2 linked regions of the Mytilus edulis genome follow. The protein of the gene in region 1 purifies or fractionates together with the protein of each later gene. This does not show direct contact. Links are inferred from orthologs where the notes say so. Each region holds a gene or a part of one and is shown on either strand. Other genes may lie near its edges.

Evidence for each region. The genes of interacting proteins can lie anywhere in the genome.
Region 2: the proteins of enhancer of mRNA-decapping protein 4-like (region 1) and mRNA-decapping enzyme 1B-like purify together in Homo sapiens (affinity purification with mass spectrometry; 3 studies listed by BioGRID and IntAct, with this or other methods). This does not show direct contact. The link is inferred for Mytilus edulis from reciprocal best matches to the Homo sapiens genes EDC4 and DCP1B.

Annotation. Positions count from the first base shown.
Region 1 is NC_092348.1:37,221,927-37,233,188, forward strand, and holds the start of enhancer of mRNA-decapping protein 4-like, read left to right. Parts: upstream 1-6,267; 5' UTR 6,268-6,510; coding exon 6,511-6,610; intron 6,611-9,620; exon of another isoform or gene 9,621-9,755; coding exon of another isoform or gene 9,756-9,869; intron 9,870-10,346; coding exon of another isoform or gene 10,347-11,262. Other genes in the region: uncharacterized protein, read left to right, coding at 9,756-9,869, 10,347-11,262. UniProt on the Homo sapiens protein: In the process of mRNA degradation, seems to play a role in mRNA decapping. Component of a complex containing DCP2 and DCP1A which functions in decapping of ARE-containing mRNAs. Promotes complex formation between DCP1A and DCP2.
Region 2 is NC_092344.1:319,094-329,628, forward strand, and holds the start of mRNA-decapping enzyme 1B-like, read left to right. Parts: upstream 1-5,734; 5' UTR 5,735-5,770; coding exon 5,771-5,890; intron 5,891-10,535. Other genes in the region: muscle calcium channel subunit alpha-1-like, read right to left, coding at 5,271-5,289. UniProt on the Homo sapiens protein: May play a role in the degradation of mRNAs, both in normal mRNA turnover and in nonsense-mediated mRNA decay. May remove the 7-methyl guanine cap structure from mRNA molecules, yielding a 5'-phosphorylated mRNA fragment and 7m-GDP.

The DNA of each region.
Region 1 (11,262 bases):
AGCCCTAACCCTAAATCTGTTTATAACCCTAACCCTAATGATGTCTATAACCCTAACAATAATGATGTATATAACCCTAACCCTAATGATGTCAATAACACTAACCCTAATGATGTCTATAACCCTTACCCTAATGCTGTATATAACCCTAACCCTAAGTCTGTCTATAACCCTAACCCTAAGTCTGTCTATAACCCTAACCCTAATGATGTCTATAACACTAACCCTAATGATGTCTATAACCCTAACCCTGATGCTGTATATAAGCCTAACCCTAATGTTGTCTTTAACCCTTACCCTGATGCTGTATATAACCCTTACCCTAATGCTGTATATATCCCTTACCCTCATGTTGTCTTTAACCCTAACCCTTATGCTGTGTATAACCCTAACCCTAATGCTGTCTATAACCCTAAACCTAATGCTGTCGATAACCCTAACCCTAATGCCGTCTATAACCCTAATCCTAATGCTGTATATAACCCTAATCCTAAGTCTATCTATAACCCTAACCATAATGCTGTCTAAAGCCCTAACCCTAATGCTGTCTATTACCCTAACCCTAATGCTGTCTATGACCCTAATGCTCTCTATAACCCTAACCCTAATGCTGTCTATAATACTAACCCTAATGCTGTCTATAACCCTAACCTAATGCTGTATATAACCCTAACCCTAAGTCTGTCTATAACCCTTACCCTAATGCTGTCTATAACCCTAACCCTAATGCTGTCTATAACCCTAACCGTAAGTCTGTCTATAACCCTTACCCTAATGCTGTCTATAACCCTAACCCTAATGCTGTCTATAACCCTAACCATAATGCTGTCTCTAACCCTAACCCTAATGCTGTCTAAAACCCTTACCCTAATGCTGTCTATAACCGTAAGCCCAAGTCTGTCTATAGCCCTTACCCTAATGCTGTCTAAAACCCTAAACGTAATGCTGTCTATATAACCTCACCCTAATGCTGTCTATAACCCTAACCCTAATGCTGTCTATAACCCTGACCCTAATGCTGTCTAAAACCCTAACCCTAATGCTGTCTATAACCCTAACCCTAATGCTGTATATAACCCTAACCCTAAGTCTGTCTATAACCCTAACCCTAATGCTGTCTATAACCCTAACTCTTATTCTGTCTATAACCCTAACCCTAATTCTGTGTATAACCCTAACCCTAATGTTGTCTATAACCCTAACCCTTATGCTGTCTATAACCCTAACCCTAAAGCTGTCTATAACCCTAACCCTAATGCTGTCTATAGTCATAACCCTAATGCCGTCTTCAACCCGAACGCTTATATTTGATGATGAAATTTATTAATGTGCGTGTCAAGCTTTTTTTTTATTATTAAACTTTGATGGTTACAGAGATCTTATATTAAGTTTTGCATTCCCTTAAACGTGTACAGAGCAAGGATTTGCTATAAAATAGATTCAAATGAAGATTTAGGACTCAAATATAGCAAAATTAATATCCTTTTCATAAGTTTTTTGTATTTCACATCGAACTTGAATCTGTAGATAGTTGTTTTTATTTTTTATCACTGATTTAGGGTTCTTAGTGGAGAGTTTTCTCATTTTAAATCATACCACATCTTCTTATATTAGTGATCGACACATTGTTGTTCATAGTATTTGTGACATTTGTTGTTAATATAACACATTGTATTTATGTGAGATTAATTAAACACTTCTGCTATTAGAAACGTTTATAGTTTTTTTAATTGGAAAGATGCTTTTGTGCTTTTGTGTAAAATTGCTTGTTTTAAGATTGTAACATAGTGATGACTGCTGTACCCATATTCTGACTATTTTATTTATTATGTCTGTTTTGATCACGCATCGAGGTAAAAATAACGGAATTTTATGAGACTGTCGTACAAGTGAGAGGCTTAGCGCTATAAAACCAGGTTCAATCCACCGTTTTCTTGAAAATACCGGTACCAAGTCAGGAATATGACAGTTGTTGTCCATTCGTTTGATGTGTTTTGTCATTTGATTTTTGCCATGTGATTAGGGACTTTCCGATTTAACTTTTTTCAGAGTTGAGTATTTTTGTGATTTTCTTATTTTTTTCTTATAAAAACCCAAACTATGATGAACCTAGTATCAAGATTAAATAATGAAAATCTAAACCCACTTCTTAACGAAGCCTTTAAACTAACTAAAAATGTAGATATTAAAGGAACATACTCTTGGTTTACTTTTGGCAAAAATTTGTCACAAGAAATAAATATTGACATTAAACTTATTGAAGAAACTAAGACTTTACAACAGACTAAAAATTCAAAACCCCAATATTAAAAAAAGGTTACTATACTATTATCAAACTAAAATTGGTTATAAAATAAATGACTTGAATGATAATAGTAAAATATATCTATATAAATTTTTAATTTTGAAGTTACAAAACGATATTAACTTGTCTAAGGACATCAAGATAATGTTACAAGGGAAGGAATTAAAATACAATCCAAACCCCAAAAATTTAGGCCTTACTTTAGATGAAAAATGTAATTTCAATAAACACATAGACACTGTTGAGCAAAAAGCACAAAAAAATCCTTAGGGATAATCAGAAACATCAAGGGAATAGCAAAGGTATCTACAAAAATTTTAATACAAATGTATCAAAGTATAGTGCTGTGTGCAATGTTTTATGCTAGCAAATCAACAACAACACGCATATAAATAAATTAAATGCTATTCAAAGAAAAGGACTAGCCTTATGTCTCGACCAAACAACTACAGCTAATATAGAAACCTTAGAAGAAGTAGCAGGAATACTTCCACTGGACCTCAAAAGAGAACATGCCGGTATAAGACAAATTGCAAAAATAAAATATAAAGTCACTATCCCTATCCCTATTAAAGAAATTTTTGAAGATTGGAAAAATATAAATGAACCTGAAAAAATGATCTCACCAATTGGAAGAATGGTATTAGTCTGAAGACATGAAGAGGTCAACAGAGATTGATTCTGATTGTATAGAGTCTCAATTTGAATTCCGAGGGTAAGCAGCCTCAAAATCACCACCAGAGTATTGGAAAAATCTCGGAAGTTCAAAGTCTAGATTAGAGGAACAAGCATTTCAGGGAAAGACTATTAGTTTGGAAAAATACATCAACTAAAAAAATTCAACAATAGCTTTCACTGATGGCTCCTGCAAAGGAAACCCAGGTCCATGCGGGGCTGGGGCAGCTATTTCAATACCAAACAACACAGAACATGTGGAGTTAACATAGCCAGTTTCCAATAGAGGATCTATTTTATTAGGGGAATTAGTAGCTATCAAGCTGGTAATAGATTTTCTTATAAATCCAAACAACAAAAAAAAACACAGAATCCATCAAAATTTTCTCAGACAGCCAATCAGCAATTAGAATTCTAACTTTAAATTGGAAATTGAATAATTACGGCAAAACTATTCGTGATATTAAAATCGGTAAAATCGGTATTTTGGCACTAAAATCTGAAGGAATCATTGTTTCCATTAAATGGACCCCTGGCCACGCTGATATACAAGGTAAGGAACTAGCAGACCAACTAGCTAAAAAAGAAGCATAGGAGGCAGAAAAAATAGAAAGCATTCCAATATTTACAAAATAAGATATACAAAAAGGAGCAAAAGACAGTGTAACGTTAAAATGGCAAAACCGATCGGACACCAGTGATAAAGGAAGAAGATATTATTCCTTTCATCAAAATGTAAAAAATACACTTCCAAAAGACAAACCGTCAACTGAAATATATCGGATATCAACTAGTTTAAGAACAGGTTGTAGGTATCCCCATGGGCACTAATTGTGCCCCTTTAATGGCAGACTTGTTTTAGTACTGTTACGAATCACAGTTTATGACTAAACTCAGTAAAGACCCGTCGAAGTTGCATTTAATTGATAAATTCAACAACACTTACCGTTATCTTGATGATATTTTTTCGTTAAATAATCAAGAATTTTCTCAATATACTGCTGAAATTTACCCCAAGGAACTTACTTTAAATAGATCAAATTTATTCGGTCCTGGATATAGATATTTCGGTTTTAAACGGGAAACTCCACACTAAAATTTACGACAAAAGAGACGATTTTTCGTTCCCTATTGTTAATTTTCCAGTTTTAGATGGTGATGTTCCTTTGGCATCATCTTACGGTGTTTATATTTCACAACTTGTTCGCTATGCCCGTGTCTGTTGTGACGTTTTTGATTTTGACGATCGCAACCTATGTATTGCTGGTAAATTATTAAACCAGGGATATCGTTACCATAAATTACTTAAAACCTTTACTAATTTTTTCCATAGATATAAAGATTTGGTTTTGAAGTTTGGTTGTACCTGTAGAAAACTTATTTCAAACGGGATAGCACATCCTCATTTTTACGGAAATGTTGTTAACCGTGCCCGGAAATTTGGAAATAATCCATGTAAACTTGTCGCTCCTTTAAATAAACTTATTCTAAAAGGTTACCTATTCAACACTGTAGTAAGATCATTGAATATTGTTTTTATTGGTATAAATATTGATTTTGTTATCAGTAAATTAAAAGCTAACTAAATATTACCAGTATATTATATACATATACATATTCATGGATCTACAATATGTCGATACCTGTAACTTGGCATTGCACAGGGTCATGTTTTTCTCTGGCTGTTTATGACGTCTTTACACTAAATCCATTGGATGTTTGATGTGTACGGATTGATGGTTAAGTCTTAGATGCATGATTTTTTTTATTAGTTGTTAGAAGCTTTGAACTAGCTGTCAGATAACTGCGAGTACTCTCAGATCTGTTCATTGCGTCTTTTTGTGTCGGGATGTATAAGTACCCGGCCACTTCCACTTATATTTTTGTCCATCTGATGAGTTTAACCTTTTTCAACTGATTTTTATAGTTCGTTCTTATGTTGTACTGTTATACCACTGTCCCAGGTAAGGGGAGGGTTGGGATCCCACTAACATGTTTAACCCCGCCACATTATTTATGTATGTGCCTGTCCCAAGTCAGGAGCCTGTAATTCAGTGGTTGTCGTTTGTTTATGGGTTACATATTTGTTTTTCGTTCATTTTTTTTACATAAATAAGGCCGTTAGTTTTCTCGTTTGGATTGTTTTACATTGTCTTATCGGGGCCTATTATAGCTGATTATGCGGTATGGGTTTTGCTCATTGTTGAAGGCCGTGACCTATAGTTGTTTTAATGTCTGTGTCATTTTGGTCTTTTGTGGATAGTTGTCTCATTGGCAATCATATACCACATCTTCTTTTTAATATAGGATATTGTAATTTAAACTCATACAAATCAATGATATGCCCAGCAGTCATCGACAAATGCAGCTGTGGACAAATAGAAACAGTTGACCATTATCTTCTGTATTGTGAAAGTTATGAGGAGGCTAGAGAGAAACTCAGCTCTGCACTCTACTTCATAACATCAAAACTAACATTTGAATCAAAAGTATTATTAGCAACAACAGAAAATGAAAATTACAAACATCACATAGAAGATATTCAACATTTGTTAGGGGTCTTTATTAAAGATACTGGAAGGTTCACAAAATAGATAGTTAAGGTTTTATATAAGGGTTAATTATTTATTCATTTTTTTTTTAAATATTTTAAAATTTTTGTTATTTATTTATTTATTTTTCTCTGCAGTGCCACATCATAAATACAAATGTACTTATGAATTTTATACAACAGCGACATAAAATTACCAGAGTGATCGAAAATACAGAGAGATTATAGTGTCAAGTTGACACTTACTAAAGACTAAATTAAGACTTTAAATCTATAAATGACCAAATGCAATACTAACTTTCACACCCAAATAAAGAAACAAGAAACAAGAAATGTTAACCAAATTTAGAATAAGCGACCATTGTCTTTTGATAGAAACGATATTTAAAAAATACCAAGAAACGAAAGAAAATGTAAATGATATGTAATATCTTAGATGATGAATTCCATTTTCTCTTTAACTGTTCGCAAATAAAGAATGATACATCACACATCATTCTATAATATTCAAGAACATATATACACCATTTTCCACTAGAGCCATGTGATATTCAAAGTATTGACTACGTGCGGAAATAAGAAAATAGATAGATAGCGCTAGCACACCTATCTACTTTATAGGTGGCAACAGAGCTACCATAAATCAACACTTTAAACTAAAAAAATATTTTTTTTTAAGAATTAAAAAAAAATAAAACATATATAAAAATCAGATTTATTCATGGACGTAAACAATTTTAAAAAAGTAATTAAAATTGAAACAAAGTATAAAATTAATGAGATAGATATATTTTGTGTAATCACGCAGTAACGTGGTTAATGGAGGCCGCCATATTTTGGATGAAAACAAACTTGTTGAAAGTCGAACCCTGCTTTAATGTTTCGTCTGGTTTCGTCAATTATCGTGATTTATCAATAACAATTTGTACTGAAATTTAAAGGAACATTTACTTTGAAATTGAAACTGTCATTTAAAATCATGGACGATAAGGGTAGCCCGTCGTCATCTCTAAACTCAGCGAGCACCGGCGACACAGGTCATCTCTTGCATGAGCTTATGAACTTGCAGAAATCAAATGGTAAATTATTAAACACATGAAAAACACCGTGATGATTTAATATTAATGGAACGAACACAAATAAGAAAACACCATGAAACATGTCGAACCCTTGTAGCTAAAGAATAACAGTTTAGGCACTGGCTATAGTTTGGAAACAACAAATTATTATAATGTCTTTTTTTAATGAAAAATTATTGTTAGTTGCTGCATTAAATTATTATTGCTGTAGTCAAGGTCAGATAGGGTACTGATTTATAATTACGGATGTATCCTGGTCTCATCGGTTTTCTTGCTATCATAATCAAGAATTCATTGTGACGTCCCGTTTGTTTATATCCCATAGTACATCATTAAGAGAGAACCAAGTTATAGTGAACTACGTTTAATATACAGCATGGTTAATCTACATTTTTTACAAGAATAACATGTGTAACACAGTTGGGCGTGAGTGCCAGTGCACATGAGTTATTACACGTGCATTATCAAAGTACTGAAATACGGGAAGGTCTAAAAACAGGACAGGTAAAACCAGGACAGTTATTTTCGATACGTTTTTATCTGTAACTTTTGTTTTACTCAACATATTGTTAAAATTTAAATTTCATAATAAAGAACATGGTATTTACTTATATTATTTGCAAAAAATATAAAAATGAATAATAACTAAGTTAAAAAAAATCTGCCAGGACAGTTTAATTTTATGAAAAAAATGGCTGAAATTGCCGAGAAAAGTTTACTTATAATTGAAATATTTTTCCCAAAACAAAAATCTGGCATAATATTTTTGTACGATTATAAAGATTATGAAATATTCATTCTAAAAATCTATAATTTAATATTTTTTTCAGCTTTTAAAGGTAAAAAAATCTGCCAGGACAGTAGCCTTTCACGTTGGAAATTTTGTTGAAATTATTTCAAAATACAAATACAAAGTTAAATATCTTCTTCAAAATAAATGTCTGGTAAACAAATGTTAGTTCATTGAAAAGTTTAGAATATAAGCTTTATGAAAATATAAAATTATATGAACTTTTATGTCATTAACACCAAAAAAATCTGCCAGGACAGTAGCCTACTCCGCTAAATTTTAAGAAACAAATGGCTGAAATTGTCGAGAAGAGTTTACCTATAATTGTTATATTTTCTTCAGTACAACTGTCTGGCATAATATTTTTGTATGATTATAAAGATTATGGAATAATCTTTCTAAAAACCTATGAATTGATATTTTTTTCGTCTTTTAAAGGTAAAAAAAATCTGCCAGGACAGAAGAATTTTATGTTAGAAATTTTGTTGAATTTGTTCAAAATCAAAGTATAAAGTTTAATATCTTCTTCAAAATAAATTTCTGGTAAACAAATGTTAGTTCATTTAAAAGTTTAGAACATAAGCTTTGAGAAAATATAAAATGATAATTCATTAACGACAAAAAAATCTGCCAGGACAGTAGCCTACTCCGTTTGAATTATCAGCTGGACATTAGCTTAATATGCTACATGTTTTATAAATGGCAGAAATAAACATTATTTTTAATCATAAATAAAATAGTATATTTATTAACTTATCTGTCTTTTTTTTAAATGATAATTAGGACTAAATCATTAAAAATAAAACTATAAATTAAAAACAAATTTGCCAGGACAGTACTATTACATAGGAAGAAGTGAAGAATTCTCAAAGATTTTTTTTATTCTATTCAAAGTGTTCAGTTTGAAATTTATCCGTGATAGAGTCATTAAAGTGAATATTTCTAGAAAACATAATTATATTGGTGTGGTTATTAAAACACTATTTGTTGATTTAATTCGATTTCTATTCATTGTATCAAAGGCAGAATTATGTTTTGACAGTAATAAAAACTTCAAAGTCACTGATTGGTGTCAAATACTCAAAAGGTGTTTATTCACTAATAAGTAATGTGTTTAGAGCACAGGAAAGTGTCACTTTTTTTATCCTCTTACATAAAACTGGAGAGTTTCCAAATGTTGCATTTTTTAACTTCTTTTTGCAATTTACACCTTTACATGTTTTCTAATGAATCAAATTTGCCATGCACAGTCACAATTCAGTACATTCCACAACACTAGTTAACCTTTTTCAACAAAAAAAAAATCACGAGATAATCTATACTAGTTCTAGTTGTTCTACATGTACCCAACCTGAAAAACAAAATTATAGAGCATTTGCAATTGCGAATATCCCACAATCTATTGCATTAATTAAATTTTATCTTTAAATATAAAATCAATTAGTTTTCCTAAAATTCAAGCTAAATATCTTCATTACCACACACTCACTTTACGGTTGACATGACAGAATATACAAATACACAGATTCGATGACAGATCGTTAAGTTTAGCACGTGCCAACTAAATATTTAGCTATAGGACGACTCATGGGACACTTTTTATGAAATTCATCTATTATCAAATGAATATTTTTATCTTTTCCCAAAATTTAATGCTAAAACTTAACAACGAATTATAACAACAAAAAGTAATAATCTATCCAACTTTCGATTTTGATTTGAAACAAATTTGTCCACAAGTTGAGACATAATAAGTAACTGTCCTGGCAATTTTTTTTATTCACTTTTTTTTTTTAATTTTATGATTGGGTCTAGCTTTTACTTAATGGTAGTATCAAAATTGTACTTTAGACAATCGCAAAAAAAAACTATTCCAATATTATATTTAAAAAAAAATAATTGCGTTGTTAATTTCTGCAATTAATTCAGAAATTTAACGGGCATAGGACATTTGAGCGAAAAAGAAAAAAGCACATAGGGTCATTTGAGCGCCGACTTCATAGGACATTTGAGCGCCGGGATATTAACCTTACCTGAGTTTTCAGACAGGACATTTGAGCGAAATTTTCCCTGATAATTTTACACGAATTAAGATTTTTTTTTAAAAGTAAGAAAAAAAAGTAAGATTTAGTTATAAATATTTTTTATTTTATTTCACACCCGAGTAATTCGACCGGTTCTGGCTGGTTTATGTAAGTGAAATCCTAAGTTGATCTCTATTTACCAATCAATTCTACTATAATTCATTGGCTATGCAAATTTTCTTTGTTCTAAAATTCTTATATATATATCTATTAAGTGAAATGTCCCTTGGCACTTGAAATCTTAATACTAATAATACATGTACGTGTTAAAATGGATATTATTTTGACCGAGACTAATAAGGGAAAAAGAAGCCTTGTTTGTGACAGTTTCCGATATAGAGTGGACAAAACACTAAAAGGAGAAGAAATATCCTGGAGATGTACAGTAAGTACCTTTTTTTACAAATTTAATGTTAATGTAAACTACTTGTTCGTCTGTTACGCTTCAACTTCCATAACTTCTTTTAATTTTGATTTATATCTATATCATTATATGTCTATCTTATACCTCCTTTAGATTAATTTTTTAACACATTTGAATATAAGCTACCACATATAGGGTTAGGTATCAAGGCTCCATGTTGAAGGTCGTACTGTAACCTATATAACATTGTTAGGTTGATTTTCTAGGCACTTTACAATATTCATACAATACACTGTAAAAATTGTGCTTAGAGCCTAAACATGTTTAGGAAAATGTTTAGAAGCTAAACACATAAATGTCTGTGGTGTTCCCATTCTAAACATGTTATGAATTTCATTTCATTTCATTTCATACTACATCTTATTTTTATGTCTTGCAATAGCAAATGAAAAAGCATTTAAACACTTCAATTGTATTTGTCCTTTCAATATTTTTCAGGCAAAAGGTTGCAAAGCAAGACTGAGGACGGATTGTACCGGAACCGTTATAATTCAACAGAAAAATACTCATAACCATGATACCAGTGATCGTGACAATGAACGTCACTTGCTGCGGGTACGATCAAAAAAAAAAGCGGATGATGATATTGCTCAACGTCCTTCAAAAATTATCCGTACAGAGTTACAGAACATGGATGAAGCAAATCTAAAGTCTGAAGACATTGGCAGCGTTTCAAAGGCTATATATAGAAAGAGGCGTAAATCTCACCCTGCACTTCCTAAATCTAGAGAGGAAACACACCAATCATTAAAGAAGATTAATATTCAGTCAAATAAATTTGAAAATTTTGTGCAGTTTAATGATGAACAAACTGGTATAATTATTCTTACGTGTCCAACCAATCTTGAATGTTTATGCAGTGTGCCCGAAATTTTTATGGATGGTACTTACAAATATTGCCCAAAGTTCTTTAAACAGTTATATACTATTCATGGCTATAACAAAGGAAATTATGTCCCTCTTGTATTCTGCTTACTTCCTGGAAAGTCTGAAGAAATTTACGTGAATTGCTTTTCCTCAATTGTCAAGCTATGTTCCGATCAAGGTCACACACTTCAACCGAAAGCAGTACACGTCGATTTTGAAGAACGGGTAATGAAAGTTATGAAGGATTTTTTCCCGTCTATAGAGATCAAATGCTGTAGGTTTCACTTAGGCCAAGCCTGGTGGCGAAAAATCCAGAAAGTTGGACTTAGTCAACAATACAAAGAGCTTGATTCAGACATTAGTAAATGGCTTAAAGGGATTTTTGGGATAGCCTTTTTAGCTCCAGACGAAGTAGCCGACTGTTTCGTAGAAGATTTTATGGCCGTTGTACCTAACGACAAGCCTTGTATAGAATTTGCAGATTACC
Region 2 (10,535 bases), on another chromosome or scaffold:
TGTGTATAAATGCTTGCAGCCACCATAGCATATGATAATGTTTTGTGTATAAATGCTTGCAGCCACCATAGCATATTATGTTTTGTGTATAAATGCTTGCAGCCACCATAGCATATTATAATGTTTTGTGTATAAATGCTTGCAGCCACCACAGCATATGATAATGTTTTGTGTATAAATGCTTGCAGCCACCATAGCATATTATAATGTTTGGTGTATAAATGTTTGCAGCCACCACAGCATAGGATAATGTTTTATGTATAAATGCTTGCAGCCACCATAGCATATGATAATGTTTTGTGTATAAATGCTTGCAGCCACCATAGCATATTATAATGTTTTGTGTATAAATGCTTGCAGTCACCATAGCATATGATAATGTTTGGTGTATACATGCTTGCAGCCACCATAGCATATTATAATGTTTTGTGTATAAATGCTTGCAGCCACCATAGCATATGATAATGTTTGGTGTATAAATGCTTGCAGCCACCATAGCATATGATAATGTTTGGTGTATAAATGCTTGCAGCCACCATAGCATAGGATAATGTTTTGTGTATAAATGCTTGCAGCCACCATAGCATATAATGTTTGGTGTATAAATGCTTGCAGCCACCATAGCAGTGTATAAATGCTTGCAGCCACCACAGCATATTATAATGTTTTGTGTATAAATGCTTGCAGCCTCCATATATAGCATAGGATAATGTTTTGTGTATAAATTTATGTCAAGCTGTCGGTCAAGAGCCCTTAATTGGAACAATAAATATTCTTAATGCTGAATGAGTTTTTATGTCTATTTAATGTAATTCCAAGACCAAAATTCCATTATTGTTAGTAATGGGATTCCACTGGTACTGATTCAGTAACCACAAACAAAGGTACCAGTTAATTGTTGTTAGCTATAAACCTGCTAATCAGAAGTTATCAATTATTAACAGAACCTACAGTGAACAAAGAATTATTCTATATTGAACAAAGAAAACTGTCACAAGTATATACAAACATTAACATCGTGCTGTCACTTCTGATTCCAAGATTTTATGTTATTTAACCAAATTAAGGGTACATGTAGGTTTAAATAAAATCAAAATGTAAATTACACCTTACAAAAGTCGAGACAAAAAAAAGACTAATATGACTAAACAATATGCTTTTAAATGATAATACATGTACAAATGTGTATATATGTCATTAAAATGTGCATAGGTTTTTTTTCCAAACTATTTCTATACTTTAAGTTTATCATTACAAGTTTTTAATGTTTTATCTTAATGTGTATATACATGTATATGTTCATAAAATCACATTATGCTCAGTGGCGGATCCAGAAATTTTTATAAGTGGGGGCCCAATGACTGGCCTAAGAGGGGGCCCGCTCCAGTTACGCTTCAGTGATTCCCTATATAAGCAACCAAAATTTTTGTTGCTTATATAGGGAATCACTGAAGCGTAACTGGAGTGGGCCCCCTCTTAAGCCTGCTCATGAATTTGCCCCCCCCCCCCCTAAATCCGCCTCTGCTGCTATTAATAATGGTAGAATTTCAAATTACCACAGGAACAATGAGGAAACTGCCATTGATTTTCATAAACATTGAGATTTTTTTAATTGGTGAAAGGTGAAATTTGTCATACCCCATTTGTGCAATTCTTTACTTGTCAGAAACAAATAAACATGTAGTTCAGTTGCACTTGAACAACTCTGGCTAAGAATTATAGGTTAATAATTGTGCAGAACAAACTTTCCTTAATTGACCCCATTTGTGTTAAAATAAAATTAGTTCTATCAAGGAGTATCAGAGAACATGAGAGAACAGATTATTTCACAATTGTGTTCCATCACCCTGTCTCAAGAATACTTTCTTTGTTGCAGCCACCGAATATAAATTAAATAGTGGACAAACTCTCTAACCACAGAGTAAACATCCAACCCACCCTGACAAAAAGTATACATCCCCCTGCTCACAGAGTTTACATTCTTATATATGAACATTAATATAAATAGCATGTGTGTCTGATACTGAGATGATAGACCATCATCCAGAGATGCCCACTGTTTCGTTACATTAAATTGGTGTAGTATGGTTCTAATTAAGAATGTTTATCTCTAGCTGACAATCCCTCCATACTTCTTACATCATACATTCCTCCTCTATTCATCAAATAATCAATACATTTAAGTTACATTTTGTATCTAATCATAATAATCCTAATTATTAATACAGATCATTTCCTGTAAATACAGTAAAACTCATTTTATGTTTATATAATCATCATATTTTTTCTTTAATTCTCAAAACACCCTATAGATGAGAAAAACAAGCTTGCTATTCAATTGTTTTTCCTTCAAAATACATGTATAAAAAACTGCCAAAAAGAAATCAGGCTTTCTCATATCTTTTATATAGATTTATAAACCTTGGCTTTTATGTTTGAATTGGTATAAATTTTCACTAGTTTTTGGGCCCTTTATAGCTTGCTGTTCGATGTGAGCCAAATCTCAGTGTTGAAGACCGTTCTTTGACCTATAATTGTTTACTTTTAATAAATTGTGGCTTTGGATGGGGAGTTGTGTCATAGGCACTAATACCACATCTTGTTATTACTATTTAGAGAATTGTTCTTTAAAACATTTAAAAACTAAATTTAAAAATAAATCTGTTTGTTTAATCTATTCGTTTTTGGTTAGTTTCTTATATTTTCTGTAGGGTGTAGGGTAGATGTGCATTGATGGGCTGGCCTCCAGCTGTCTTTAGCTCTTTGGTCAGGTTGTTTCTCTTTGACACATTCCCCATTTCCATTCTGAATTTTATGTAAAAATATGCATATATATGTATAAAAATTTGACTAAAGCACATTCCCAGTTGGGGCCCAAAGGCTCTCAAATAACTACTTCCCTATTAGTTCCTTTGAAGGGTTGTCACAAAAGTGTTCAGATTATTGATACATGTACATTTGTTGCAGATATATTTATGGTACTGTTGAAATAACTTGTTAAACATCTTTGAATTCACTGTCAAGTATAATATATAACAAAAAATATGTGGTGACAAACAAAATTTGAAGTACATGTACACAAATGTAGCAGGAGGCTGGAGGGTTCAAAAATTTTAGAAAAATTTTAAACTTGTTTTTTTTCTTTATTATAAATTTTAGTTATTACACTTAATTCTTACTTTATGATATGGCACAAAAATCAACCCCAAAAATTGATTCCTTTTGGCCATGATGAGTTGAAACATATGTATATCATTGAAAAAGCTCAAGTTATCTCCCTTTGGTGCAAAAATGACATTTCTGATATCTTTTTAAACTCATTGTTGACCTATATTTTTTCCCCATTATTTTCAAATAAACTACTTACATTTTGTAAACTAGACAATTGTAAAATTTATGGGATTTTTGTAATTTAGTTCTTTTTTTATTTCGATATTACAATGTACATATTTTTCTCCTATTATACATGTAGTTCAACAGAAAAAAGTACCTTAAAACAAAAATGCATGCTTCTTAGGATAGCAGATTGTGAGCTCAAATGAACGGTGACCCCACTTTTATTCTATTTTTCTATTCTATTTTTCTATTTAGTATATGATAAAGTTCATTTATATAAAAAAAATAGTAAAATCCTATATATTTAAAAAAAAAATCATTTATACCCATGAGCCCCCTTTATCTGCGTGCAACTTCTCTGCAGGAAGATTGGACAGAAGAGCAATATTTCTATCTTTCAAACGTTGTTATAGGTCCAAGATATCATATAAAATATAATTTTAAGTAGATATAGGAAGATGTGGTGTGAGTGCCAATGAGACAACTCTCCATCCGAATAATAATTTAAAAAAGTAAACCATTATAGGTCAATGTACTGCCTTCAACACGGAGCCTTGGCTCACACCGAACAACAAGCTATAAAGGGCCCCAAAATTACTAGTGTAAAACCATTCAAATGGGAAAACCAACGGTCTAATCTATATAAAAAAGGTCCAGGATAGATATTAATAATCCTTTAAATGGGTTAGAACCCCCCTTTTTCTTGACAATCAATGCATTTGAATGGGGACATAAAGTTGGAACCCCCCCATTATACAAATGCCAGGTTCCGTCCCTGCTACATCAGTACATGTACAATGTAGTTTACAGTCAAACTGTATTATTCCTTATTATTTGAATTCTAATAAGTAGTACCAAGGATTTGTATAGTGATCTTGAACTGCATAAGACATTGTAAACAGTCTAGATGCCAAAGTCCACAACATTGCAATCCTTCTTACGATACAAATCCTTGGTAGTATATATGTACATGGGCTTTGGTCATTGTTGAAGGCCGTACGGTGACCTATAGTTGTTAATTTCTGTGTCATTTTGGTCTCTTGTGGAGAGTTGTCCTATTGGAAGTCATACATGTACCACATCTTCTTTTATTATAATATGTATATATGCCTTTTTGGTTAGGTAGATTTTAATAATAGAAAATGTATATATTACTATTACTTTTAATAGGAAAATGGAATTAATTTTTAACCAAATTTTAAAATAATAATTAAATAAACATTTCATATACATCAGAATGAAATATATTTTTGTTTTGCACTCCTAAATCAAATCAAATATGAAAATCTTGTCTTTTTATTTAAACTAGGCAATACACACTTCTGATAACATTCTAAAGCAAAAAGCATTATGAAATGAGGAAATGGTCACTTTCTCATTGTATAATAGAACACTTCTAACTCATGAAACATGATCACTAAATTTGTAATAACTGGGAATTTCCCTACATCATTACAATGTATGAACATCTTTAACATTTCTAATCTACATTTTTACATAATCAATTTATTGATGTCTACTCATTGACTTTGGAGGCTACATGTTATATTATTATTATTTTTAAATGCAAATTTGTATAAATTGATAAATATTCTGGAAAAAATGTTATAAAACAAAATTTAAAAAAAAATCTATCCCTAAATTTACAGCTAATTTTGTCCTTAATTTTTTTTCAAATCAAAAATAAAAAACATATTTTTTACAGCAAACTATTTTCTCTAATTGAGGAGAGCTGTTTTAAATAGTTTATCTTTAGCCCTCTTTGATTGTAGAAAATACAATGCAAACATTTTATTTCCATCTTTACTTAAGCATCAGTAACCAACAGGAGGGTGCCATGTTTATCACTCATCCATTGATAAAACATCAATAATTTATGAATGCTTACACAGATTTTATAATAAAGGTTTCCACACGGAATATTAAGTTCTTACCTGGACCTTTATTGTCCATTTTTGGATCTTAAAACTGAGAAAAATCCTAAAATAATTTTTGCTACAAATCATCAAATTCGTCCATTTTTGTCTTTTTTCTTGTATCATCATCATCCGGGGTTTTCTTCCATATTATTGGTATATTTTTCATCTTTCCATTTGTAAATTGCGGGGAAAAACTATTTTTCACTTCTTTTCACGGTAAATATATGTTGCGGTAATCCATCGACATACGACACTGAAGTAAAGGTACACTTGTGTTCGCTGTACCGTGAAACGTAAGTGTGCCGCTTGATCAAATTTCGGGCACCTGTTTTCAATTTAAGTAAGTGTGTCACCAAAAATTAATTGAATAATGGAAAATCATTAATTAAAATATAACATTTGTAAAGAGCTATACTTATTTGCATGTTGTTATTTGTTTGTATTTTAAAGCAATGCTATTTATAATAAATGTAACGGAGTAAATATTCAATGCGAGGCTTCATCGATCAGCGGAAATGGCGGAAGGTCGAATGAATTTGGCTGCTTTGCAGCAAAGAGATCCGTATATAACGGACATAGTTGACACTGCGTCTCAAGTTGCCTTATATTCCTTTAGTTCGAAGTCAAGCGAATGGGTTTGTGTTAATCATTTCACTGATTAATTAGCATGTTTCTGTAAAAACACCCTCTACTTTTACTGCTTGTCATATTATTATGATAAATCTTCTATTTTTAACTTAAGAATAAAGAAGTTTTTCTTTGCAATTGCTATATGACATTTTGAGAAACTGTCACCCACGATGTCTTTATAGATTATTTGAACTTCTGATATTAGTTTATTTGTGTGACTTTAATTCAATAGGTAAAAACACTACAATTTACAAAATTCATAGTGTTAGATTATCTGAAGACTGAACCATATAATAGGGCTCTTCACGGTTAGTTCGGCCATATTGGATAGGGGGCAGATTTTCATAATAGAGGTAAAAATGGTGTGAAAAATACGGGAAAACATCATTAAAACAGAGCTTTTGCTTGGAAACACACATAGGATTTCCCACACTTTCATACCATTTCCACCTCCTTCCAAAAAATCTGCCCCCTATCCAATATGGCCGAACTAACCGTGAAGAGCCCTATTACATTGTATACATGAGCCTGTGGGCAGTAATGCCCCTTACTGTCAGGCTTCAAACGTATTTTTGGCTACAGTTTGCGTCAAGTTGGTAAAAATGTTATCATGATTCATTACCATGATCACAGTATCCTTATTATGTTGCGAGAGGTTTCAAATAATTATTGTATGCATTATTTTTTGAAACAATTAATGTGATGCGTCAAAATAATCCTCATGCACCAAAAAACCGTTTACTTCATTGTGCAGAGTTTTAACTGTTTAATTTGTCATAAAGGTTCATGTACCCCATTACTACCCTCATAGATGTTCAGCAATGTATGTATTGACTATTGATCTCTGTTTGAGATGACAGTTGTTTTTGTTAAGGCACAGAAACATTTATTTTGATTCTTCAGAGGAAAAACATACAAACATAAACATGATAAAGTCTGATGAGCATTTAAAGTAGCAGTATTCTTTAAAATAATAACCAAATAATGTGGGGGGAATGTAGCAAATATGATTGTTTTTTTACATTAAACTGCAATCTAATCCCCTTTCCTACTAGCCTAAGCTGCCTTGCATCCTGGCCCAACCTCCCCTTTGCTTCAATAGGGCCAGATGTAATATATATTAATACAGATCACATTTACCATTTTTCAGCGCAAAATCGGCCTTTAACTGATATCTCTGTCAGTGTTCTCCCCAAGATTTTTGGATAGCGCTGTGGTAAGCGCGTAATTTCCGACAATTCTCAGTAACTTTGTCACGGCGCGCAGTTTGTTTGAAATTGATTTGTAATTTGTGTTTTTCTTATATTATGCTATTGATGTTTTCTCTTGTATTGGTGTCCTCATCATACTCATGGAAGTTACCCCTTTGTTTGTTAATGTTATCAAAATAAAATTGAGAATGGAAATGGGAAATGTGTCAAAAAGTCAACAACCTGACCAGTGTTCTCCCCAGGGCCTTTTAACATCATGGTAATATGATGCTATAATCTTAAATGTGATGCTATTTGAAATGGTTTTATTATAGATTATATAAATGTTATGGATGTGATGCTATAATTTTTAGAAACAAGATAGTTTAAATTTTCCCTGTTTACCAGGATGCCAAATGAAATATCTGGGGAGAACCCTGCTGACCATAGTTAATATCTGGATATAGAAGAAGAGTATTTTTCTCTTTTGTAAATTCTTATAATCTTCATATTACATGTATCTGTGTATAAAAGTTAAAACCCAAGGAGAAGTCTTTTTTCCATGATTGGTCTATACCAGACTGCCTATGTGAAGATTTCTAAGCACTAACAGGTGATGTTGCAGAACATGTAGGACCAACAATAAAGACTTAAGGAGGCTCGAGGGTATAAAAATTTCAGAAAAAAAATAAACATTTGTTTTTCATTTCAAATTTTATTTGTTACCTTTTGTAGTTGTTACTTATTATATGGTACAAAAATCATTCAATACAAACAATTTGTGTTGGCCCCAGATGACTTTTAAAATGTATACATCATTGAAAAAGTTCCAAATTATCTCCCTTTGGTGGAAAAATGCCATTTTTTGGCTTTAAAATTGAAATGTCTTTTTTAACTCATAAACCTATGATAGTACTTTTTGAATATATATATGAGGATGCAAAACAAATTTCTTGGTAGAGGGGTCTAAATACAGCACAAATAACATTTTCTAAAAGACCAAAAAAGTGAAAAGTATACTTTAACAAAAGTTTTACAAAGCGTATTTGACTAACAGGTCGAACAGCTGATGTTCTTAAACCCTGCTGACTGACATTGGTGATTGCTAAATAAATGGATCACAATGTGTAACAAAATGTGTCTTTATTATGAATTAAATACCAAACAGAAAACAATATAAAACTTGGGGAAAAGATAGTATACTGCAAACAAAAGATGCAAAAATTAGAACACAATATCCAGATTTCGACAATTAATGTCTCTTCTGTGATGTTAGGGATCCAAACAGTTTTTGGAAGGCCATAAAATTTACCTCAATTTAGGAAAGACTAATTATATATACGAATTATATATACATACAGGACGAGGTATATGCAAAAAGATAAACTTTGTTTCATAGTGACTTTTCAAATACATGTACTCCTCTAAAATATATTTGTTATATAATGACGGAACATATGTTGCATATTAATTGATTTAATAAGTAAATCATGAAACTTGTTTAGGTGATTATTAATTTATTGCATAATTCAGCATATCTAATTGAACAGGTATAATTACGTAATTTGAGAACATGCCATTTAACAAAAAGATTTTTTAATCATTGAACATGTTTTCCTCCCTCTTGACCAATAGGTGAATGTATTTATCTAAGGTTCAATTGGTTAAAAGATAATATACAAATTTATTTGTTCTCCTGTTAGATGGGAGACAACTACTTGTGTTTTTATAGTCCTGGCTCTAAAATATGCCATCACTGTAGATTGTAAGATGGGACAAAATACTTGATAAAAGACAGCAATTTTATAATGAAACCATAGATTGGTTAATTAATGATTGATAGTAATAATAAACAGGCTGTTATTTCAACTAAGAATTATTTTTAATCATGGAATTAGGATAATTTCTTGTGCTTGAAATATTTGATAAATTCCATGTTTGTTCTCTACTTTAATGTTTGAGTGGTGCATTACACTTTTCATACAATGTTTTTCGTATTGATAGTGTTGTGTGTGGCGCAGGACATTCTATTGAAAATGTGCTATCGTCTTTGTAATAGAAAGTGTTGTGCACCGCACAGAACATTAAATACAGAATAAACAGGGAATTTATTAAAAATTAAGCAATTGTGCAAATTCCATAATTTAAAAAAAATCCAAGTTGAAATAATAGCCTGTTAATATAACTTTTAGATACATTTATTAATTAAAAAAAGTATTAATTATCATCCTTAACTTACATTTTCATCACATTGCTTGTCACAATTTTTAAGTGTACAAAGGGAGACAATTCAATCTCCTTTATCAAAACTAGTTTATAAGGAAAACATTAGCATATATACTTTTGTAAGTGTTCAGTGTTGTGCTTTATAATAAAGTTCTGCTATAATAGATTTTTGATCTAGAAATGTGTAAATCTTGTGTGCAATCTCTTCTTACAACTGTTGACTTTTTAGACAAAATTATGTGAAAGTGATCTTGACATTTTTCATAATGCCCTGTTCTTTTAAATGAACAAGTTTCAATTTTTGGACTGGATATTTCTGTAGGAGTTTTTCACAAACATATCAGCAATCATAACTGATGTCTTTGCTCAATATGATGAATCGGGGTCTAATCTTATATTTTGGAGAGGGAGAAATGACTTCTCCTTCCATGAGAGAGTACAGGGATGTTGTCAACTTCTTTGAGAAGTGAAATTCCATCTATGTTGGTTAAAAGCTCATTAGAGCTTATGTTTGTCTATGTTTGTATACCTTGCCTTGTTTTTATGCCCCACCTACGATAGTAGAGGGGCATTATGTTTTCTGGTTTATGCGTCCGTTCGTCCGTCTGTTCGTTCGTCCGTTCGTTCGTCCGTCTGTTCCGCTTCAGGTTAAAGTTTTTGGTCAAGGTAGTTTTTGATGAATTTGAAGTCCAATCGACTTCAAACTTAGTACATGTTCCCTATGATATGATCTTTTTAATTTTAATGCCAAATTAGAGGGTTTACCCCAATTTCACGGTCCACTGAACATAGAAAATGATAGTGCGAGTGGTTCATTCGTGTACTGGGGACACATTCTTGTTTGTGATTATTATCATTATGACTTATATGCAATAAGGACATTGTTTTATATAAATATATAGTTATATATATACATGTAGTTAGTCTTGTATGTTTTTCAATTGTAGTTTCTTGTGTATATTTCGAAGTTTAGTATGACGTCCATTTTCACTGAAGTTGAAATAGTAGATTTTTTTGTTTAGGGGCCAGCCGAAGAACACCTCCAGGTGTGGGAGTTTCTCGCTGCATTGAAGACCTATTGGTGGCCTTTGGCTGTTGTATTCTCATTGGTCTGGTTGTAGTCCTTTTGACACATTCCCCCATTTTCAATTTTTAATTTTTTATATTATATATGCAATAAAACAATATACCTACAGTGTTTTACATGATATTGTGTAGATTCACCCTGTATAAC